Linked DNA regions of Lepisosteus oculatus. The protein of the gene in region 1 interacts with the protein of each later gene in a pairwise test. Links are inferred from orthologs where the notes say so. Each region holds a gene or a part of one and is shown on either strand. Other genes may lie near its edges.

What was found.
Region 2: the proteins of ccnk (region 1) and cdk18 interact in binary tests that used the Homo sapiens proteins (3 or more experiments, as listed by UniProt). The two-hybrid records come from large-scale screens. The link is inferred for Lepisosteus oculatus from reciprocal best matches to the Homo sapiens genes CCNK and CDK18.

What each region holds. Positions count from the first base shown.
Region 1 is NC_090703.1:1,880,054-1,892,321, reverse strand, and holds the start of ccnk (cyclin-K), read right to left. Parts: upstream 5,680-12,268; 5' UTR 5,496-5,679; intron 5,446-5,495; exon of another isoform or gene 5,091-5,445; intron 2,677-5,090; 5' UTR 2,617-2,676; coding exon 2,420-2,616; intron 1,905-2,419; coding exon 1,823-1,904; intron 1,565-1,822; coding exon 1,433-1,564; intron 1,004-1,432; coding exon 898-1,003; intron 1-897. Other genes in the region: setd3 (actin-histidine N-methyltransferase), read left to right, coding at 10,129-10,231, 11,598-11,690, 12,177-12,268. UniProt on the Homo sapiens protein: Regulatory subunit of cyclin-dependent kinases that mediates activation of target kinases.
Region 2 is NC_090700.1:37,777,005-37,789,886, reverse strand, and holds the start of cdk18 (cyclin-dependent kinase 18), read left to right. Parts: upstream 1-6,353; 5' UTR 6,354-6,559; intron 6,560-12,882. UniProt on the Homo sapiens protein: May play a role in signal transduction cascades in terminally differentiated cells.

The DNA.
Region 1 (12,268 bases):
AGGCTGCATAATGTTATTACATTGTCACACAAAACCACACCCTCAAAAAAAGGTTTCAAACGCATATGCAATACTTCTCCAAGGCATGTTAATCTGTGATTAACAGCCCAAGGAAATACACAATACATTCAAAGTGTCTTTACAGTGCATTTTGAGGACAGGACATTGTCAGCAATACAATGCTTGCTAAAACTGTAGCTGAAAGCCACTGTCAGTGTGGTAATGTTAATACTGCTGCAAGCACACTTGAAGCACTTTCTTGTTAAGACTTGGTTCAAAATTTTATCAACCTAAAGCTAAGCTACAGAGTATGAAAAACAGGGACAGGTTGAAACATTTGTTTAATGTTTCTTGGGGAGATGTACATACTGTAAGTGCTTTTAAGATTGAAGGAAGTGCTTTAGAACTGAAATCAGGATGTTTTTCTTTAAACAAAGGGTGTGGGTCTGTTCCAAGATGTCCCAGAGCCTCTGACTCAACAACAATTAAAGAAACGGTCAGATGAGACCCTTCAATCCATAAGCTGCTTGTGCGCAAAAGTTCATTTCTGTTACCTGATCTCTAAAAAATACCACTACTGTATCCCTGATTTATGACTTTTCGCTACAACAAAGTGTGCAAATTTATACCTATTTTTATCAACAGCAGATTAACAGAAAACAGAGCCAATTAACTAACCTGCAAAATGAAACAATTTTTCCTCAAGTTATTTGGTTGATGCTTCTGTTCAAGGCCACCTACATTTGCATCCCTGTACACAGGTCTAATAGTTCAGTGAAGTATCTCAGGGGCACAAAAGCATTGTCTCAGCTGGGATTTAAACCTTCCAGTTATGAGTCCAAAAACATTGCTCCACATTACTGCAAAAAATAAGACAAATGAAGACCCAATAACTACCTTTCAGCTGTTTCGCATAGCGAAGAAGAAACTGATATGGATGCTCCACTTGCAAGTCAAATTTTATGGTCTGTAATAATATTCTTTCCAGCACCATGACTTCCTCCTGTTGGGAAATAAAACTTCTGTTCTTAGTGCCAGCACACTAACGGGGAATACACCTGCTGAAACAATTCTTGTGACATTTTTATGAGTACAATAGGTAGAGTAGTGAAAAACAGAAGCAGAGCTTAGTTAATGTGCCATATGTTATAATTTAGACCACAGGAAGTCTAAGAGACAGCTACAGCAAAACCACTTTAGAAGCAGTTCCCTTATGATTTGTGAAAGCTTCAAAATTTGTCTTAAAATGCTGTAAATATTAAATATTGGATGCCTGATTTACAGTAAGCGTTTTCATCCTTTATTCTGAATTAAAAAGTACTAACGTCTGCCTATTGTTTGCGCTGCAGGCAGGTGAATTGACAATAACTGTACAGTTCCGGCCACAGGAACAGGCAAAAGCTGTCTGGAAAAAGAATAAACACCAGTTCACCTTTGGGTCGTCTCCGAACTGTGCAAACTGCACATCATTCAATAAGCTGCGAGCGGTTTTAATGATGTCTTTGCACTTCTTCGGGGTCTCCTCCACTTTGCCCGCAAGAAACAGACAACAGGCTCCCGTGACCTACACCCCAAAAACACAGACGTATAAGGACCAGTAAAGACTTCATTCAAGGAATAGATAGTTGTTCTTAAAGGACACATGATGTGCTCTGACAAAATGTGCACATTTTATTAATGACACTTTAATTTTATATTATTTTACATACAATTACCACTTAGTTCTGCTCTTATAATATACTTTAACCTCATTAAAAGTTAGTTCCAAATTACCTAAAAGGAGTGCATGAAAAACAGCATTGATAAACACTAGAATACGTACGTATCTAGGGAACTGTTTGAAAGAATGGAACATGTAGAAGCGGTGAAAATAGATGATCCCAGTCGCCAGTGTGTCATAGTGCCTGATCATGTCATCAAGGAATTAAACAATAAACTGACATCTAGTGAAAAACCATTATGCAGAAGAGAAGAACATAGCGCAGGCAACAAGCTGTGTACTCTCTCCGGAGACACGACAAGACACCGAAATAACACTGTGTATCCGATTATGAGTTTCTTTCCATACTGGTGACTATGGAAAAATTAAAATTGAATTAAAAAAAAAGACAAAAAGCTAGCAAGTCCTAGCAATAATATAACAGCTTTCATCCCAAAATGTGACACGTATCAGAGGGAACCCACTTGACTCGCCCCTGGAATTCCAGATCCAGCTAGGAGCTGCGGTCAAGCTGCACTGGCAGCTCCGCTACACAGCTCACGCAGGAGCGAGACACTGCTTCCCTCAGGGAGGCCACACTGCACTGCCAGTCCGTTAACTGCCCGGCTCGGCGGGTGGAGTCGGAACCTGACACTCCACAAGAACAGCAAAAACACATGGGCAGCCGGCGGCCCCGCGAGGCAGCCGAGGAAAGGATACAGCCCCAGGCGCGTCCCCACGTCGAATATGAACCGGGCTCCCTCTCGCCGGTACCGGGCCTCGGTGGCTGGGTCCAGCCCCTCAGACTGGGAGGGGGTGTGCGCCAGGTCCTTCTTGTCCCAGTACCAGCATGGCTTGATGTGGTCCAGGTTTGCACCAGGCGTACCGGGAGTTGAATTCTCCTTATTTTCCTTCATTTATTAAAAATAATATAACTCACAAGGCAGATCCTTTAAACAGCTCACTGTGCAGCAGCCCTGCAAGTAAAATAAAATCATGTCAGACTGGTGCATAAAGGACAAAATACAACTACTGCTGAAACACCTTTTCTCTTTTCGGCTGAGAACACCCGTCAGCAACAGACGGATAACCTTCTTCTCCACACAGAAGCTCAGCTTCAGACACAAGCCAGCCAGTTCCTCCCTTCTCCAGGGGGATGTTCTCACTTGTTTGTCTGAACTCCTGACAGTGTTTGCATTAATCGAACCAAACTGAGATCTTCTCAGACCTCGGCTGGTCTTGACTGAAGAACTTAGTGCAGTTTGGTTTATTCTGTGCTGCCATCATGGGTTGCTCTTCACGGGCGCCGCGCCTGAAGCGGAGGTGTGGTGTGCACTGGGCACACAGACAGCGCACCGTGTGCCGGAACCAAGGAAAGAACGCACTCCATTACAGGACATGTGTGAGACAGGTAGCAAGGCCATGTCTAATACAGTAAAACTGGTGAATTACTGTTTGCTTCTGTGCTGGGAGGCATCACCCAACAGGGACACAGTGTCCGTTTTCATACTTTTTAACAACGTTTCAATACAGACGGATTTTGACCATGTTTTACTAATACAATGAAAAATTCCAGAAATGTACACAGTGAAGAGTAAAGGACACAGCGAGCCCACACTATCACCTGTGTTTTCAGAGCTGTTACAATTAAGCTACTATAATAAGCTATAATGAATTATAGTAAGCTACAAGGTTTAAAAAGTTTTACAAAGGTAAAAGGCTTTGTGTCAGTAACTGTAAGGCTTTGTGTCTGTAAGGTGCTGGAGAGGGACGTAAAGGGTAATGAAAGAGCTGGACTCATGAGCAAGACTTCGTTTGAGTTCGATGTCCAGCACGGTGCTCTATCACATATAGATGCCGGTTCCATCGCAAGGCCCAGTGTTCTGTCTTACTGTATGTTTTTATATGATCGGCTTTTGTGATGGAACATAATTTCTTAATATTAGGTCTGAGGATAGTGCACATTATCAAAACTTTAACAGCAGTGACTGTTCATCTGGTTGGCAGCGATACTCTTCCCTACCAGCTGCAACAAGACGTAGGACCCACACCACGGCCGTGTCGTTGCGCAGCTTCTTGTGCTTGCCATGCCATGTTAGGACCATGACCACTTGGCCCCCCCCGGCAGCACCCTGCGTCAGTACCGTCGGCCAGAGCGCCCGTCACGTGATTTCACGAGCACCGTTTCAAGCGAGCAATGCGCTGGCCGACCTGTTGGACTGGCCCAGGAGGAAGAACGGTCCTCTCCGAGGTGTCGCTTCGGGCACCTCGTGCGTGAACAAAAACCTGACTCGGCTCCTTTCCGCTTTCTACCCCAGAGGGCACAGGTGTGGTTCACCTAGACGAGGAGCATCAGTGGGAAGGCCTTAAGACGGCCCTGATGAAACACACCCGCGCCAGCGGCAGAATTATATGTCAAATCCAAGCAGCTGACGAAAACACCGAGATGGCAAAAGACAAGAGCAGCAGTAACACACAGGACAGACAGGGGTCTGGTCACCACGCACAGCGAACTGCAAGGCACACCAGCGCTCCCTGTGAACCACAGGAACACACAGCCGCAGTAACTCAGGGATCTCACAGGCGGGTCCTGGGGGGCCTGGCGTCTTCTGTTGTTTTTCCCCCCGTACGAAAAGTCAATTTAACACCTAAACTAATATGCATAAATGTGCCATATATAGGATTTTTAATATAGGCATTTCACAGTCATCCTAAAGGATGACTTATGAAAAACAGGTCTTTAGAGGTACGATTACCAACACACTTGAAAGTCTGGTTTATAATACACCACTCATGCAGTTAATAACATAATTAGACCGCTTAAGCAACAGGAAGAGATTCATGAATGAACCAAACCCCTTAAGCCAGCAGGTAACTGGGCCCTCCACACAGCTGAGGAACAGCACACACTAGAGGGAGTCGCAGTGCGTACCACTTCTCTAACATCTGGACAACGCAAACCTCAGCAACTTCCAACGAGTTCTGAAAGAAATGGCATCTCTCATATGAACACAATATTCTGCGTATTAGCGGGACTGTACGGAGGCCACGCTCCTATCCAGTCAAGACATTTTAACGCCGGCTAACAGTTATTACAGCGCCACAATAATGTAAAAGACGAAAGCCAAAACGCAAGCAGGATTAATAATACAAGATGAATGACAAATCCACCTCAAAAAGCTATAAGAGGCTTATATGTGCATTTATTTCTCAATATCGTTACATTAATGCTGTACCTCTATACGCTGCAGCAGTTACAATAAACAGGGCGTAAACAAATACACGAGGGGTGCATTTCTTCCTTTAAGCCGCTGTTTACAGATTCCATTAAAAAAAAAACCCGTCTCCTGTGTAACGACGCTGCATGATTAGAGATGAGAGAATTGCTTACGACAGTCCGTGACCCTCGAGGAAAACAGCGCGCAACTAAACACAGAAAGCCGATCGGAGCTCTCCAGGTTTCCAGAAGCAGTCACAAAGTGAAACTGAAAACCGGACAGCGCAGCACACCCCGAGCCCCTCGCCTGCACCCCACTTCCCCGCACTGCTCCGCCCGGGGTGCAGAGGCGCCGAGGGCCAGACCGTTTCACAGGGGTACCCCGAGTGAGTAGACACGGGCGTCGTTGAGGAAAGCGTTGTGGGCTGTGTGTGCACAGCTCCGGGTTTTTAACTCGGTTAACTCGTTAGCGCAACGCGCGGCCAGGCGAAGGGACTGCTTCCCACACCACCGACCGGTCAGCGCCTCTCGCTTCAGCCTAGCTGCCCCCAGCGGGGACTGAAACACCGCCGTACACACCTGACGCAGCTGCAAGACGACGGCAGCAGTCTTTATTCCAGGGGAGAAGACCACGGACGTCTTCTGTGTCGGTTTAATCCCACAACAAAACTCCCTCCCGTACAGTGGGCGCCGCCATTTTTGAGACGAACACGGTTACGACAGGCCCTCCGTATGGCGAGCACGGAGGAGGGATGTTTTTTTTGGGTCCCCCGCTCTGATTGACATCCGTGCTGACCAATTAGTAAATGGAAGCCCTTTCCATGTAAGGTAATTCATTCAATGCCAAAGTAAACAGCCAATAGGTGGAGTCAGGAGGCGGGCTTTGATGAGCTGTGTTGTGCAGTCAAACTTAAGAGCCGCCATGTAGTAAGTGACCAATCAAATAAAAGAATAGAACACGTTGTCGCTTCCGCAACCAATCAAAACTGGGGGGTGGGACTACTCAGCCTCGTTTTGAGTGACATACATATTAACCCAATGAAAGAGGAAATACTAGGGGACGTATTTCAGCGTTTATCCAATCAAAACCCTTGAGAATGTATGCAGGAAGTGTTCTTTATTCAATCGCAAAGAGGAACAGTGGTGCAGGCGTGGTTTAATCTGGTTGCAGGGCGGTTAGGTTGCACTCTCAGAGCAACTGGGTGAGGACTGAACTCCAAGCTGACAGGACCTGCAGCAGTTAATTTGGAGGTAATGTTATACAATAATGCTACAAAATCACACACTCATGGGCGGTTCGTGGGTTTGGTTCTAGTTTACGTCGGGAACACACGCTGTTTTACTGTGTTGAGTAACGCGGGGCAGATGCCGATTTCCACCGTCCAGATTTACTTTTCCTCCTCAAAGTTTATCCCTTGGTTGTAATGAATGCCTCGGCGACTTCCCTTAGGTTTTCCTACCAGGAGAGAGTTCAGAAAGGCCGAAGAGCATCTGCTGTCTGCTGTGGAAGAGAAGGCGCTGTGCTGCAGTACAGCACTGTGCGATACACCAAAGTTTCAAATGGCTTCACAGTGTTGTGCCAGACTTTGTCCGAAGCATGCCAAATACCTTACATGGGTTTATTTTTCGAAATTCGTTTTAATTTCATTCCATTTAAGAAGAGAATGGTGGTTGTTACTATAGCTATTCAGTGCTGTACTTTTGTGACAGGAGGCAAAAGGGATTTTTGGCATGATATATCATATCTGTATTAAACATCACCATGGTGTTTACCATTACTGGTGGGAACTGTTTTTGTTCATGATTAAAATCTTAGATATTGCTCCCGTCCTACAGTAGAGCTAAGTGCAGTTAGGAAGCCTGCATGGGCGAAAGGGTTTCTAATTTCTGACTTGTGCAAGTCGCTTCATTTAGGTCATGCAGCTGCACATTCGATCCAAAGCGCCTGATTGGTCGGCTTTAATATTGACTGGGCTTCTTAGTAACAAGCAAAACTGGCCCAATGGGGACAATCATACAGGTCCATCTGCGGTTCCGTTCCTCTTGAAAGGTAAGTCGTCTGAAAATGTTCTCCGTAGGCCGTGGGCAGATTTGATCCCTCATCTCCGCAAAGAAGCAGCTCTGAATGATAGCTTGGGGTCTTTGTAAGGATTTTCTCTCTAGAAGCTCTGCTTCAGGGCGTCTGCACAAAGAGTAGTGGGTGTGTTCTGCAAACTACCCAGCCTGTGCAATTCCATTGGATGTCTCAGGAAGTCGACCCAAATAAACAAGACAGGACGCGCCATTTCTTCAGTTGTAAACATCCTTCTTGTCTTGTCAAAGCACTCTATTTACAGATTGACCTCTTTTTCAACGTTGATCTTTTTAATCTTGATAACAGGAGATGGAAGGCAGTTCGGGTGTCACATCAGTGTGGGTCTTTCTAAAGGTGCCTGGATCTACACAGTGCTCAGACACTCTTACTGTTCGGTGCTGATGTAAAAGGTCCTTTTCCTTCAGGAAAGCTAAACGTCGGGGGGAATCTGCCTTTCCTCTTATTTTTCTGGAGTTTAAAATGAATAAAAGTGTTGAGTAGTAAATATTGTAAAGAGAAGCAATTCTCTTTAAAAGGTGTGAGAAATGGAGGGTAAATATAAAATGTTCTGCAGTAGTTTGGAAACTGGAGTTGCAACCAGATTCCTAACAATTCAAACAATGGCCAACTGCCCATCTTGAAAATGTAATTGTTGATTTTGTGTTCTCCCTACATTAGAGAATTGCTTCGGTTACCCCAAATAAGGACTGATTTATATTTTTACTCAGCAGTGTTCTGGTCTGACTTCAAAGAGAAAAGTCTGAGTTATTTCCAGTGATTTCCTTCTGTCACATGTGCAGCACTTGGTTTCAGTCGTTGAGTCTTTTGACTGAGTCTTGGCTTGGTCTCGTAAAAGTGACAAGGGAAGTGAACCATGTGTCTCGCTGGTGGCCAGGAATTTTGAAAGCAAAGCTGTGCAGCTGTGTGGAAGTGCCTGGCAGTTATTTTGAAAACTTTAGTGCTCTATTTGGCAGTATCCTGGGGGTGGACCCTGAGACATTTTCCGTTACCAGTTATTCCATTGTAACCGAAGAAAAAGTATCAGTGTTTCATGAGTGTTTTATGGAATAGAGTAAACTAAACTGATTGACAGACTGACTTGTCATTTCTGTGTCCAGCTGGCAACCGCTGCGTTGAGCAACACTGCTCCTTCTAGAATAGATGAGGTTTTTCCCAGTTTTTATAGGGCAGTTCAGAGTGCTGGATGAGTGAGGGGAACTGGCATCACCCAGTGGGTTTTTGTGTGTTGCCATACACTGACGGTTTGATCATTTCACCCATGAACTATTTGTTTTTGCCAAGGCACAGCATTTTCTTTTTGTGAACAAGCACCTTGAAAGAATGGCACTCTTGTCTCTCAGGAAATATTCTTATGCACATGCTTCTTGGGGTAAACAGGCGTACGGAGCAGTGCCAGTTCTCGTTTGGTGAGGATTCTCTTTATGTTGCTGTATGTGTCAGTTGCGTGATTTGCAGTAAAAAAGTGATTTTCCTGATGTTTGGAAGCTGTACGTCTGCTTAATACGGCATGAAGTGAAGTACAGTGTCAACCCTGCAGGAATAAAGTTGTGAGTGTGCAGTTGCACATGATGTGGGATGATGCTTTTGCTGTGTAGCTCTGCTGCACAAAGGCAGGCCTTCATGCATACTGCACTATTTTTCTTTGCAGGTTTTATTTGAGGAGAGTGTCAGGACTTGAAAGCTGCTTTATTGGAATATCCTGAGGTCTGATCCTCACAGGATCTCCTTGATGTGGTTTGTGTGAAGTGTCTGTTATTAATGTTCTTGTGTTTTAGATCAGTGGTTTTCCTCAGTGGAACTGGGAGGCCTCTGGGTTCCACAGAAAACATTTTTCACTCCAGATCTAGTTGTACTGCAAGATAATGTCCGTATAGTACTAAAACTGAGTGTGTTATGAAATTTGAATTTTTTTGTGTGCAATACTTTGTTTCATCATGGAAAAGTGACTAAGCGTTTCTAAATTAGAACAGACTGATGGTGTATTTGTATTACAAATAGTTTTGCGAAACTTAGCAAGATGTATTAAGAAGTAATACACTTATTAATAATTCCATTAAGGACCATGTGATTAAATAGTCAACTTTTTCAGTGCAATCATCAAGATGAAACACAGTCTGCCTAAAAATAAGGTATTGAGTGCTTTTATCCTAATGTAATGTACCTCAAAGCCAGTCTTTTGAAATAGTGCTTCACATTAACACACCACACAGCACTGTTTCCATGGAGATGCCATTTAGTCTTCTGCATAATGAAAACAGCCAGTCCAGGTCTTGAACGCACAGCATTCAGAATATCATTACGAGCCTGTTCAGATTCAAACGGTTTGAAAGCGAAGAGGGCTGTGAAGAGTCTGATGCGGCGCATCACGCAGCCGTCTCTGTCCGCAGTCTCGAGTGGACCTCCACCGTCAGGAGTGGCGTCACTCTTCAGCTCCTAGATCATGCCCTTTGTTTTTGCTTTCGCCCAGGCATTTTATTTTGGGGTCTCGTCTTTCATATGAAAGATGAAAGGCGAAGCATGAAAGTGTGCTGTACCCCCCCCCCCCCCGGTGGAGCTGTGTCGGTGCTGGCGGAGGAGATGCCACTGTTGTACCTGCGCCTTGTGGTTCTGAGCTGCATGCCCAGCTCCGGCACACACGTGCAGTAGTAGAATAACGAACAAGAGAGGGGCCATCAGATATAAGCTGGTGATTGTCACTGCTGCTGAGTTTCTGAAGATTATTTTAGGAGTGCAGCCTTTTTAATTTAGCAACTGTAAAATACTTTTCTTTGTGTTATCGAGCTGTTAGGTGCGTAAAGCGTGCCACCTAGTGAAGAGATGTGGGTAAGGCTTTTGTCGAACAGCTTTAAATTTTAATATCTTCCAATAGGCTGCTTAAATTAACAAGGACAGTATTTTAGGATGTATGGGAAGATTTAGGAATCACAAGCTGTGATAATTAGAAATCATAATTAGAAATCATCATGGTTTCAGAAAAGCTTTTGCATGGCTGTGGCTTGGATCTTTTGACTTTAAATATGTTTGTTGATACATAAATGTCCATCAAGGAATATTCTGCTGTCCCTTTGTCCCCTGTTGTGCAGTGAAGCATCCTCCTGATCTTTCTCCAGTCTGAGGATGGGGAAGAAGAGCAGAGTGAAGACCCAGAAATCAGGCACTGGGGCTGCCTCAGTGGTCTCCCCCAAGGAGATGATGAATTTAGTTTCGGATCTGTTGCAAAGTAAGACCTGTTTTTGTTAAGGTGATAATTGGTGCAGGTGCATAAAATCCCTGTGGGTTTCCTGTATCTCAGTGAGGATGTTCTATCTTAGGACATGGTTTTTTTTTTTAAACTTATTTCAGTCCTCCAACACCTAGAGGTTGACATAACATTTCCTAAAGCCACTTATTAAACAATCATGATGTTGTGCTACCTTAATCATCTCACTTATTTAAATGCTACAACTTAAGCAGCGCCAAGAGGCAGCATTACTACCACAACACCATGCACCTTTTTTTAGTTTTTCCAGTTTGAAACATGCAGAAACTTCACTGAAGGTTTTAACAGTTCTGTTTCTTAGCTCTTTATTTGCATCTGCTGTGCCAAAGCTCAGGATTCAATTGTTAATACCTCATTATTGGATCATATTGTATTGTAACATTATGAGTCTCAAACCACTGTTAGGTTGACCAGTCTTGCCATGCATCACAGATGGAGAGAGCCACATTTCCAAGCCTCTTACATCTTGTCAGCAGTGTTTTCAGCTTCTTTAATACCAGAGTATTTAGGGAAACATCAGTTTCAATTCCCACAAAGTCTGGGTAAAAATGAATGTACTTCAACTAATATTCTACAGCAGAATATCAAGTGCCCCATTTTGTTGTGCACGAAATAGGAGGCATGTAATCGATAGTAATAGCTAAAATCTATCAAATAATAGCTCAAATCTGTTCTTTAAACGTTTTCCTTCTTGGACAGAATATAAAACTTTTCACTGTTATAGCAACCTTGTCTGCTATCAAGAAAACAGAAAGCATTTAAACATTACATGTCAGATGTCCTAAATTTGGCAATGGTCTTCAAAGAATGCCTTGATCATGTAACTGGCATTGTCTGAGACAAATCCAGTCATGCTTTTAAAATGTATTTTCAGTGTATTCAAATATTACACTATGCCCTGTGCCACCTATAAGGTATTTCTGAAGTGCAAATATATGTACAGTATCTGCTGTAAGAACTGAAATTGTTATTCTAAAGTTGCTGAGGTTAGCGTACCTACAGGGACACCTGGAGGATATTGGCTGAACTACAGGGCAGGAGTCCTGAAGGTCACATGGTCAAGAAAAGCCCCAGCTCTTAACATGAAATAGACTATGCAGTGCAGACAGACTGCTTTCTTTGGACGTTATTATTGTCTTTACTATTCCACATGATATTTTGTAAGAACTGAGTAAATTTTAAAATGCTATTTGCAGAAGAAACTTTTTTTTATTCACTTTTCCGTGGTTTTTCAAAGATTGTTTTCCCATGCAATTTGAGTAGTTCCGTAAGGAAAATTCATTACAAACCAATCTCCCTGGTTTTATGTATCCTGCTTTGTTCGTAGAGTGCAGCGGCCCGGCCCCAGCTCCGGGAAAGGAATGGGAAGAGTACATTCAGATCCGATCGCTGGTAGAGAAAATCCGCAAAAAGCAGAAAGGTATCTCCCCCTTCAGCAGGGAGCAGTGTCTTTCTGAACAAGCTTCCTCTTGAGCACTTCCTCCAGAGATTCCCCATGCTATTAGCTCTTCTAGTGAAAGGAGTTCAGGTTTTCCCCAGGAGCTGATTTATTGCAGAACCTCATTTTATGTTTTCCTGTGACTTTGTGACCAAGCGTTAGACTTGTCCTCGTCAGTGAGTTCACTGTAAATAAATGTGTGGTGAAAGTGGAGATATCCTGGTGAATATGAATTTGGACCAATTATGATTTTTTTTTTTTCCAATGGAGATTTTAGAAGGGGTTTCTCTGGAGCATTCCTGCTCTCTTTCCCAATACACATCACCCCCCCTTTCTGCCCTCTGATGCTTTGAGTATCTGTCCATTATTTTGTGCATAATAATAACATAGCAGCAATAATAATAATAGCAGCAGCAGGTCACTTGTCTTTTTTTAAAATGACTTGATCCTGGTTTCTCACGGGTCCAGGTTTATCGGTGGTGTTTGATGGGACAAGGGACGACTTTTTCCCAGAGCTCATGTCGTGGGCAGCAGAAAACGGAGCCTCGTGTGAAGGCTTT
Region 2 (12,882 bases), on another chromosome or scaffold:
ATTGGAAACCCACAAACACACCTAGCCCTCTGGGACCAGGACTTTACATCCAAGCTATAGATCTTAACCCTCCTCAGCCTCTTTTAAACATCTCATTCCAAAAGCAAGAATATCCTGCCGAAGCATTTCATGTGGTCAAAGGCATCTTGTGTCTCTTCAAGAGATCAGCTTTGTATGTGCAAACCCCATGGAAAGACCTGGTTTGTTTTTATATTCAAGATACACATACAGTACACTCCTCAAGTGTGACATGTTAAACAAATACACACACATTTTAGTACACTGGCATCTTTCTACATGTGAGCTTCACCAATACAATGCCACAACTTACGCAGAAGCAAAAAATACCTTTCTCTCATGTCCTTTCTCCAGTCCAGATATCTGTTTAACTAAATCGTGCTTCTCAGTCAGACCAAGTTAAAAAATAGTGGTTTTCAAAAATTATATTTCCACTTCAATCTTTCCACTAGCCTTTTCAACTCTATCTTGCTAAACAATCTAAATAACTGTGATCTGTAACCTTCTCTTACCTGAGGCAGGTGCTTTCCTCCAGGTGTGTCAGATCCCAATAATTACTCACTTTTACCCAGGGTCTTGCCCAGAGGTTTTCTGGGAGTTGTAGTTTTTTTTACCTTCAATCTGGCCCTCCGTAGTTCTTTTACTTTGTATTGGGAATGTAGCTGTGCTCTCTTCCTCTTCCCCTCAGGGTGTTACAGTATATACAAGCATTCTAAGACATCAGAGAACATTGAAACAAAGTTAAATCATGTTAGAGTCTCAGTGAGCTCCAGGGCACACAGAACAAATCAGTTTGTGTGATTTTCTTTTTGTATGCTTGGAGTCACTGATTCTATTCTTTTTCTTAATTTGCCTCCAGTGTAGAGCGGTGTTGTCAATAAGGTCAGCACCAGCAGTGTGCACATTTTCCCCTGAAGTGCACATTGCTTTGGGCCATCTGCCATTTTTCATGCAGCAGGTTTCAGCCGAACGAACACAGATCTGAGGACTGCTGACAGCAGTGCAAGGGGCAGGCATCTGCCAGGCCACAGGAGGTCGCCATTTCTCTCCATAATATTGATACTCCAGATGACTGAAGCCCTGACGAAACCTGACCTCTTACACTCTGCCACTTAGGGAAACCCAGTTTGCAATCAGATAAAGACATAGTCTGGTCTCGAACCAGCAACACCCAGACCACTCAGCATGATGCCCTACATTGATTTCACTGCTTAAAAACTCCTAGTTTCTTATTTTTAGATTTTATGCATCCATATGAATATAAAGATTGTGGCTTGGCTAATCAAAGTGGACTCACCGTGTTCTGTGAATAGCTACACCAGCAATGATATCTGGTGTTTCCACATGAATCTCACCCACATCGTTTTAATCAGCTTTCATACTGTTACAAGATGAAGTATTCCCCCCCACCTCCCATACATACACCATATTATTGTGTGTGGACCTCTGCAATCATCAAGCACACATTGAACAGGAGGTGACATGCAATTCACAGTGTTCTGAAAGTGTCTGCAACCGGGTCCCATTCAGCCCAGGTTGTGATATGGAGGTGTGTGGGACTGAAATGAAAAGTCCCTCAGTTTTGCAAAAGAAGGAGACAGAACACTCATTCATGGTCCTCAAGCTAACCGTGTCAGAGATCAAGATCTGACAATAAAAGGTGAATTGTATTAATAACCCTTCCTTGGTCTTCTCCAGCATGTTGGCAGACACTAGCTCTGTACACTGATACAAACACTAAGGACTACAAAATGTCCTGAAAACCAAAACTGTACATACTGTAAACCACACTAAACCATACTAAAGAACTAAAGAGCTGCACAAGGAGCCGTCTTACTGCTACAGCAAGAGCCTGCTCTTAGCACCTGTCAGTAGGACAAATCGAAATTTTAAACCCTGTTCATATTATATTTTCTGGGGTTTTTATTTTTTTCTGTGGAATGTTTGATATTCTATGTCATAGCTGTGGTAGCTGAAGCTTTCCATCAGTGGTCAGCTGTTTGTGCCTAGATCATCAGTACCTGAATTCTCAGCTACATGCTCTGTAATGTAATATCCACACTGACCCTCCTAGCAGATCCACTGCTGGCCACCTGTTGTTGCTCTTTCACAGACAAGAACAATGGGGATTAATGTTGGTATTTTTAGTGTGCAGTGTTCCTATTTACACACTGTCTGCAGAGGAACATTAGAATTGAAATTTAACAGCATCAGAACAAAGAAAATTTTACAAAAGAGGAGAGGTCATTTGTCCCATCACATAACCCCCTTCAACTGCTTTACTGACCCAGCAGTTGATTCCACCAGGAATCACTGAAACTTTTATACACTGTGGTGTGGAAGGCATCCAAGTTTCATGCCTGGTTCATAAACTTCTATAAAGCCCTTTCCCTTTTACAGCAATTTGACAGAAAATCTTTGATCACATTTTGTTTGCATTTTCTAGCCCATCAGATACACATAGCTGTGCCAAAGTGCTTCCAATCCCAAAATGTGCTTTGATGTATTTTAAATCTCAATAACCATGTTGATATTAAAGAAAGAGTTAAAAAAAACAAACACCCTGCCTGTAATTGACTGGCTCTAAACCACTGTTGCATTAAGACGCTGGTCAGAACAGGAAGAGTGTTGCTATTCTTTGTATAATTGTTTGGATTGCACTTTTATCCAGAGCACAATATTTGTACTGTATCCCTTTGTACAGCTGGACATTTTAAGGTGTCCAAGGGAAGCATCTTGCTCAAGGGTGCCCATATCACCCTGCAACTCACAACTGGCAACCCACTGAAGCTAAGCAGGTGTGAGCCTGGTCAGTACCTGGATGGGAGACCTCCTGGGAAAAACTAAGGTTGCTGCTGGAAGAGGTGTTAGTGGGGCCAGCAGGGGGCGCTCACCCTGCGGTCCATGTGGGTCCTAATGCCCCAGTATAGTGACGGGGACACTATACTGTAAACAGGCGCCGTCCTTCGGATGAGACGTAAAACCGAGGTCCTGACTCTCTGTGGTCATTAAAAATCCCAGGGCGCTTCAGGGTGTAACCCCGGTGTCCTGGCCAAATTTCCCCCCTGGCCTTTACCCCATCATGGCCTCCTAATAATCCCCCTCTATGAATTGGCTACATTACTCTGCTCTCCTCCCCACTGATAGCTGATGTGTGGTGAGCGTTCTGGCGCACTATGGCTGCCGTCGCATCATCCAGGTGGATGCTGCACATTGGTGGTGGTGGAGGGGAGACCCCATTACCTGTAAAGCGCTTTGAGTGGAGTGTCCAGAAAAGCGCTATATAAGTGTAAGCAATTATTATTATTATTATAGCTGTGTCTCACCTGGGATTTGAACTCATGACCATCCAGGTACAAGACCTGATGCTCAGGTCATACTCTTTTAGGGTGCTGGCAGCCATCTTTGTTAGGAAAACAAATAGTTAAGTGTGCCATGCATTTCTTTGCACTTTTACTGTGGCCTGTTGTGCCAGTCAGGTATAATCTTATATTTTTTTACTTTATCCTATTATGGGGAAGATTACTATGCTGTGGAGCACAACTCCAGTTAACAATGGCAACTTAGTCCAATGGAGCTCACATGCCTCCTTAACTTGTGAGTGGCAAAGGATCTTTGTCAGTTGGATCCCATTATGTAGGCACTACGTTAAACTGGGTACTTACGAACTCAGGTGAAATGAACATTCAGACACAGAGGGAGCAGTGTTGTGCACCTGTGGTGCAACATGTGTATGCACAATACTAGTGAGCACACTGGCCCCTTCAGAGAAAGGGGAATGTGTGTGTGGTGAAGACTTGGAGACCTGGGCTTGCATATCATCTAGGAATCAGAGCGGTAGCTTCATCACTACCTTCTATTTACAATGCATAATGCTAGTATGCCCAGCATGTGGAGAGGCCAGGAAAGGGCACTGTATTTCTGAGCAGAAGAGGAAAACATTCCAGTAAAGCAAAGACCCTTTGACAGTTAACAACAGTTACTAAATTGCACATGCATATTCAGTGACCCTGAATGATGTCTGGTGACAACGATCCAGAGTTTAATAAACCCACATTTCTGCCCTTTCTTGTCAGAGCAAACCTCTCCACCCCCACTCTGGCACTTCTCAGGAACCTCTTAGATCGTTTAAGGGTTGGTCTAATTGGGTCTGGAGTGACTGTTGTGCCCAGCAGAGGGAGACGGTTTTCCTGTGCCTTTTGCCCTCCTCTCCCCTTTTTTTCACTGCATGCATTAAGTAATCCTGAATGCTGACTGGTTCTGCCTCCTCAATATTGCACATGACCTTTCCATTCGCCTCCTTTCTGGGCTCAGTGCTGTGTTACAGTCTGGGAGACGGGTCTGCAGCTTCATGACAACACCAACCTCTCTCACCAGTAAAGCCTCAGTGCAGAGCCCTGTTAGCCACTTCAGATTAAATTATTTTATTGCATTTTCTTTTGGATTCTTGTAGTTTCTACAGTATTCCCTGCCCAGGTTTAAATTTCTAATCAAAGACATATATACAGTACGTTTTTTATTCCCAGCTGAAGGAAAGAAATCCCCAAGGCTGACTGAACTGCAGAATAACATTTTGATTTCAGACTCTCCTTAATCTTTATTTAATGGAGTCAAAGAGGTGTAATTGGGTGAGAGATGAAAGCAATTTACTCCAAGGCAGGTCACTGTATTCCTAAAGGAAAAGACAAAGCACATTTTAACAGGTAAATAGCACGAAATTTTTTACTGGATGGGTACATTTAAAGCTGCGCTATAAAGAGCTTTGATGTAATTTATTTCTAGTTCTCTACCAGTATGATTTTCTCCCCCCATTTCTTCAATCAAAACGTTGCTGAAAGACATCTCGCAGTAAAAGGTTTTGAAGATGTATCCCCCACAGAGTTTGAAACTGAACACAGTTGTCGATGTGTTCCTGGCAAATTGACTTTGGAAGCAACAGTGCAAACTGGAAACAATGTAGACAGCATTGTTCTCAGGGAAATAACTCCTACTGCGCACTTTAACCCTCAGCTTCACGGGGGGAACACCCTGCAGCTATGCTAACAGCAAAGAATGATGGACAGTGAGTTTTATTTCTCTGCTACTGGAGCCATTTTCGATATTAGTAGGTGAAGAAGTAAAACATTCTTCTTTATACAACTGACTACAATTAATTAAACCAGATTAAAATTTGTTGTGTAAAGGAAGGTTTTAAGACAGAGCCTAGCCTCTAATATGGGGTTGAAGGCTGGCCTGACAACATGGTTTCCCAGGATTTGTAGGTTTGGGTATTACTAAGATCTCCCACAGAATACTGTGCACCACTGTGGTTGCCACATTACAAACAGACTGATTCAATTTCTTAAATTGGTTTATTCAGTTAATTCATGATCTCAAAGGACTGTGCCGCATGCTCAGGACACACTCAGTTTAAAACTGAACTCTCTTTATTCTTCAACCCCTTAGCTGGTGAGGGGACTTGATGTAAGTATTCAAAGTCCAGAACTGTATTAACAAGCTCACAGGAAGTCTTTATGGTCAATGGTGAACAGGGGGCACAAGTGCAAAATAAGAGGAAATGTATTTTAAGGTGAGAATAGGAGAAGTGTTCTTTACACAGAGACTTGAAGGAGTCTGGAACAAGGCCACGGTTTTTAAAGCTGATTCAAGACAGAGCTGGATGACATCCTTGGGCAAGCTAGCTGTTAGTACCCAAGGAAGCAGGAAGGACAGAATGGCTCACTTGTAAATTATCTTGTATTAAAAAGTTTGCGTCACTGGTAATGTGACTGGGAACTGAGCCGCAACTCTCCGCTTTATGCAAAGCAGTGCACCTAAACATCGGTAAACAAACCCGGCAACCTCTTAAGCATGTCAAGGCTATCTGAAGACTGAGACTCCCACTGGTCTGTACCTGGTCTTAGTAACCAGGCTTACATGCTCATTATGTATTTGTAATGGTGCATGTGCCTTTTAAATGCCTGTCTGTTTAGTTGTGTAAAATCTCTTGTAACAGCAATACTCAATGTTCCCAATTGACAGCACCACTTTTTCTGAGATTGTGTTGGCTTGTCCTGAAATGGAAAGAGACCTGTTCTTTCACAAGTAGTCAGAGCTGCTAATTCAACACCTTCCAGAGGCAGCAAATAAAAACTCAACACATTCACCTCACAGGCAGAAAGCCCTGCAGTATTATCTCTACAGAGTGAGAAGTACTTTGAGCACTGTGTAGGGCTGGTTAAAAGAGGCTGTCTGTTCCTCCCCTGTCATTGGCTGTTGCTATAACAATAGAGGTGGGGAGGGAAGCAGGAAGGCGGGGACAAGCTCTGATTATAAAATACTTCAGTGAAACACATTTGTTGTTTTTTTTAGTCAGAACTGTGCACATGAAGAGGACGGCTGCTTCTGACCACGGCCACAGAAAGGACCCTTAACTCACATCTCCTGCCAGCAGCAGACCTAATCATTAGTCTACACTGGGGATTATATTTCTTAGTGCTTATCAAGAGAGACCTGGAGCTGAAGGAGTAGGGCTCCTGTTCTCACTGCTATCTTCCCTCTTGTAAGTATTAAAGCCCTGCTTGCTGTCTCTGTTAAACATCTGTATGTGATTAGAAAACTAGAAACAGTCACATTACTGCCCCTACAGGTGTGTGTTGTGTTTCTGTTCCAGGCCAAAGTATATCCAAAATATATCTGTGTACAAGGGAGATACAGGATTGTGGTTTAGGGGATGGTGTGCAAAGCAACAGTATGTTCAGTAGCTCAGTGGCTGGAGTGCTGCACTGCAGTGTGTGCACTGCTGGAGTGCAGGTGTTCAGTGGTTCAGTGTTTTCAGAGTGCTGGGCTGCAGTGCGTTCAGTAGCTTAGTGCCGGGGTACAGTGTGTTCAGTGGCTTAGTGCTGTGGTACAGTGTGTTCAGTGGCTTAGTGGTTGAAGTGCTGTACTGCAGTGTGTTCAGTGGCTCAGTGGTCAACATGCTTGGCTGCAACGTGTTCAGTGGCTCAGTGCTGGAGTGCAATGTGTTCAGTATTTCAGTGGTTGGAGTGTAGAACTGTAGTGCATTCTGTGGCTCAGTGGCTGGCTTGCTGGGTTGCAAAGTGTTCAGTAGCTCAGTGCTTGGAGTACAAGGCAGCTTTGTGTTGAGTCGCTGAATGGCTGGAATGTGGAAGTGTGGTGCAGAAGTATCTAAAAGAAGCATATTCAGTAGCTACGTGGTTAAATGGTTGGGATTTTGGGCTGCATTATGTTGGGTAGAGTAGTGGCCAGAGTGCTAGACAGTGGTGTGTTCAGCAACTCAGCGGTTGGAGTGTTGAGGAGAAGTATCTCTAGAGATTGAATGGTTAACAGTGCTGGAAGCAATGAGCTCAATGGGTCAGTGAATACAGTGCTGGAATGTGGAAGGCAGTGGGCTTGGTTAAACAGCTCAGTGCTCAGGTTCCTACTCTGTATTATAAAACTGAAGGTTCAAACTATTAAGTGTCTGCAGTCCTGGCCTACACCTGGTACCACATTCAAAAATTCAGTGGAGCAGGACTAGTGCTTGAACTGGTTAAGGAACATATTATGCAAAATTCACTAAATGCAAATTGTTTTAACTGGAGGTCTATTCCCACTGCTACAGTATGAAATTGTAAAGTGCATTTTATGCTGAGATGTAACCTAGGTTGTAGAAACAGAGTTTCGCATTAGATTTTTGCATGCTATCAACTGCAAGAGTTGAAGAATGATCATTTAAAATTTTACATTGAATAGAACCTGCACCTTCATGCACGTTAAAAATACAAAATCGTTGTTTGGAAAGTGAAAAACCAAAGTCATAAATGCAAAAACTCTGAAATAGACAGAAAAATGCATTTTGTATTAACTGAGGCTACCACGTTCCGTGGGAAATGATATATGTTTAAGGATGCAATGCAGTCATCTGAGAAACAGGTATATACTGTAAAATTACTTATGATTGGTTCTGCCAAGAGTCTTGTCTTCATAGGTGGCAGTGCTGCGTCATTGAAGCTGTTCTTAGCTGGGTGCACGTCTCTTTTCTAGTTTCATATGTTGAACACTGCCACTCAGTGGTAAGATGCAGTTATTACAATTGTTGGCCACTGGAACTACTTAGCTAAACACAAAGCAACAAACGTAATCAATTAACTGAACCATTAATTGGCCAAGGGAAAGAGGACTGGTTTTCTAAGGCAGCAAATTAAAATGATAGGGTGAGTTTAAAATACATGAACACAGAGCTTCTGGCCCATTACATTACAACACATGAGGACAGCACTCTGGTCTTGCTGGCCAAAGAATCATCCAGGAACTATGAGAAAATGCACTATTTTAGGCCTTTTAAAAATGAATTCAAATTAACATTGAACTCAAGGAAATAAAGTAATTTATAGGACAGTTTCTCTGCACACTTTGGATTTCCTAATAGAGTTTCTCTGTATGGGCCTCATGGAATGCTGAGACTTGCTCTCATCTGGTTAGGTTTTTGTCTGTAATTGCCAACACATTCATTTGTTAATTTATGTTTGGGACAGGCATGCAGGAGGGAATTGCAAGACTGCAGAGAACTGTTCATTAATCAGATTGTAGTGTTGGGCTGCAGTATGTTCAGTTGCTCAGTGGCTCTAGTGCTGGATGGCAGTTTTTTCAGTATCTCAGTGGATGAAGACTTGGCAGGAGGGAGCTCAGAACTATGTGCTATCAATTCCCGTTATAAATATCTGTAACAGAGGCACCACTTATGCCAGTCCAAACACCAACAGCTAATTCACTGTAATTGTGAAGCGTAAGCCAGTGTTTATCTCATGTTCAGGTGACTTTTATTTGCATTCTTACAAAAGCATTGCTTGGAGCTTTTTGAAATGATTTCATAGAGATAAAAGCAAAAACAACTTGTCGCTTTGCCTTTGCATTCCTGTTCCTTTGACGGCTGTGTTTTTAACAGCACATGAATCTGCTTGCCATCTTCTTCAGGATTCAAATCCAGGGAGACTGTAGCTGTGAACAGAATGGTGTTACACCTTGCAGTTTTGGACGTAACCACGAAGCAGTTATATCTTGTTTGTAAGCCTTCAGCAAACTAATGAGAACCCACAAAGGAATTGTGTAAACCTAGCATTGTAATAGCTCTCTATCAGGAGGCTATTAAACTGAATTAATGCAATGGATTCATTAATCACAGGCAAGCATTCATTTAACAGAGGCCCTAGGTGATTAGTGATGTTACAATATAAATCACCCAAGCACCCAAATAAGGATTAGAAACAAAAAAATCCGTGACCAACTGAAATTTTAATGATAAATCTCTTCTCATTTTGTTTGTTTAGTATTGAAATATCGGACATTTGGAAGAACAGACACTTCTAGGTCAATTAGAGTCAGTTCCTGTGGTTTCAATGGTGGGAAGATAGCCCATTAAATTTCATCATTAAATGAATTTAATGTGGGAGTTCGCCCACAGATGAAAATCAAGCCCCCTGTGTTCATACCTCAATGATATAGACTAGGATGTCTTCCAAATGAAAACAAAAGAAAGAACATCAGATCATGCTACTGGAGGAGAGAAAAGTTTGTGAAAGCAGGAGTTCTGATGGCTTTGCGCTAATGGGCATCAGACAGTGATGTTGAATAATCCGAATCTCTCTCCCATGCGCTGAATCAGTAAGACGGCCAGATCGTGTTGTACCCAAGAGTGAGCCAGGACCCTCCTCAGCATGTGCCTGAGCAGTGCCAGCTCTGGAGTCTTGCATGTTCACACAGACGTCATGGTCACCTGCTTCTGTCCTTCTACTGTCTCACACCCAGCATGGCCAGCACTGCTCAATCTGGGACCACAACTGCCCCCATTCCCCAGTATGAACTTTACTGTGGTGTTAGCAAGGCTCAACACCACAGAGACTATATTAAAACATATTTACAAACATACAAGCATTTATTTTTTCTAGGTTTAAATTATCTTTACATACGCATTACTAAATATGGAAAGATGAATGCTTTGATGCATGGAGGGATCTTTAATATAATCTTTAAAAATAGTAAATTTGCATGTTATTGCTTAATGAACTATATACTATGACACTATATACCAGTGTCAGATCAACAAGCACGGTATTAAATCCCTACCTTTTAAAAACATGCTTTTCCAGTATTCTAGAGGTACATATTGTTATAATATGTGTTATATATGATACAGTACAGTATATTGCCTACACATACAAATGAGGGTACAATTGCCCTCTACATTTTGAGATTCATTCATGCTATACGGATACTCTGGTTCAGATGGAGCTCTGAGGGTTTTGAGCTGTACAAAGATTTGCGTTTTCATGCCTGGAGATAAAGGCCTGTGCATTTTCCTTAACAGCCATTCGCTGTTGGTGACTTAAAAACCAAAAGGTTAGATCTATTATTGCAGAGTAGAGGTCTCTGCTAAAAGCCAACAAATCCGGGAGCGGCACGCTGTCCGTGCAGCAGAGGCAAGAGAGAAAAGGTGCTGGCTGAGCAAAGAGCTGCTTTGGAATAATAAATACACGTTAGTTCATAGCAAGAAAGTTCACAGCAAGGAACAGAGAAATAAGGCAATTTGCATAGCAGTAGGGCGATGGTCTGCGAACACTAATGCTGAATTTGTATCAGGGGGCTGGGAAATAAATGACAACTGGGCTCCTTACTTACATCACAGACAGGTGAAGTCCTCATCGCTGTGGCCAGCCAGAATAGATCAGATGACTGTTCCCCACACCATCTTCGCCAAAGCTTCAAGAAAAAATCTTCCTATAAATGACTCAACAAGTCATTAGTTGCAGGAGCAAGCAATATCATATTCTTTTTTATTTTATTTAATTTATGTGATGAGTTAGCCAGGGAAAATCTAATCTGTGTTGGCTGTGCTTTGTCCCCATGGCCCAAAGACAGCTAAGTGAATGAATTCTCCTGAACAGCATGTGAGCTGGCAGTGCTGAATGTAGTCTGACCATGGGCAAGGACGTGACTTTCTGCAGAGGTTCAAGGACACGCTGAATTATGACAGTCTTGTGGTAAAGTGTATTTGACGTCTGGCTCATTTGAATCATTTGTCATTCCAATGCATTTGTTTGCACTGTACACTTCACACGATGTAAGCAGCAAGTCTGAAACTTTGAAAAGTGCATTGTCCTTTGTACTGAGCTATGCTGATTAGCTTACAAAACATCTTTATCTCGTTATGCCCTTCAGGACTGTCAGACCAGTCCCTGACCTGATATTTGTGAATGGGGCAGTTCTGTGTCCTGCAGACACTGGGTAGAGCCAGCCATTGCTGGAAAGGCAGATAGAAACTCAGGAGCAGTGAACGGCAATGCTGATTGATTTCTCTATACATATACCGTATACATATGGATCTATCTTATATGCTACAATGTTGCAAAATTATTGAACTTTTATGCATATGTAGTACACAATAATGCATTAAATGTGAAAGCCAAAAGCAAAACTAAATTAATCATTAAAAGCTGTAGTGAAAAAATAGATCTTTAAATGGGTTTTTAAAATCTCAAAGCTTGCAGAGTCTCTAATGGATTAAGGCAGTGCATTCCACGGACAGGGCACTGTACAAGAGAAGGCTCTATACTTCATTGGGTGAAGCATGGTCTTCGGCAAAGAAAGAAGACCTTAATCAGTAAATATTTGATTAAAAGATGGACTACACTCATTCAATAATAACTTCAGATTGAGAATTCAGTGCCTTTTACAACATTAGGAGAAACTTAAAGTCCTCTTAATTCCACATACAGTATGTCATCATTATCATCTATATTCCCTGTCAGTCCATTTCAGCGTTTTCAGCTCTGAACCTGCAGTAAGCATATCTATGCATTATCATGGACACATAGGTTTATGTATACATTTATAAGATTATATATGTAGATTTAGATTAAGTATGCAATTGCATACAGTTAAACAAGAAACGAAGGGGTTTATTAAGATAAAGAGTTACAACTGAGAGAAGTTTCCAGCTTGATCTCTGGGATTGTTTTCCCATCAACACGGTCTTATCCCTGCCTGTCTGTCCAACGGCAATCCTCCACTGCACTCACTTCCTTAATCCATTAGGCCGGAGGCAGTGGCAGTGAGTTATTCCCAACATTTCTTTTAGGATGTTACAGGTTTTATTGTTCTACTTTCATAGTTTTATTCATAAAATCATCGGTGATACTAAATTGAAACCACTGAACACTGCACGCCCATCTTTTCTGATGGCGCAGCCTCCTTCCTCGTGTGATTTCTGGGATGCTTTTGGTCTTTCCTGTCAAGAGCAACATTTCCGTTCTATTCCAACAGTCTGTCAGGTCCTCCAGATGTCTAGTGTTCACAAAACTGCAGGAAATGTAAGTTTCAGATTAGCATTAAGTAAAAACTCTGAAGTCTAAAACAACAAAAAAATCACCTACAAAGCTGAACAAATAGTTCCTGTTTTTGGTCCACATCAAAGTCCCGAGTTCACATTCCATGAGTTTTGAAACAGGGTTACTTGGCAACACTTGTTTTAAGAAACATTAAGAAAAGGGCACCTGAAGACAAAGATTGTCTTGTCACGGCTAACCTATTACAGAGTGCAAAACCTTCAGACTGATAAAAATGTAGGTTTAGGAGGATGTATTTTCTTGCACAAATTGGAACACTTGCAATGAACCAGAAGAAGGATCTGCCTCCTTCTTTGTGTTTCAGAGAGCCAAAAAGACCTCAAAAATCAGTCAGGCCTGGAAAGCGGTGTGCCGTGGTCATATCCAGTTCTCTCCTGTGTCTGTTGCTGGGTTTTGTTTCATGCAGGAGGGATGGTTTACTGGTTAATTTCAGTGATATTGTATGGCATCACTAAGAGGCAGGCCTGGATGGGATTTTACT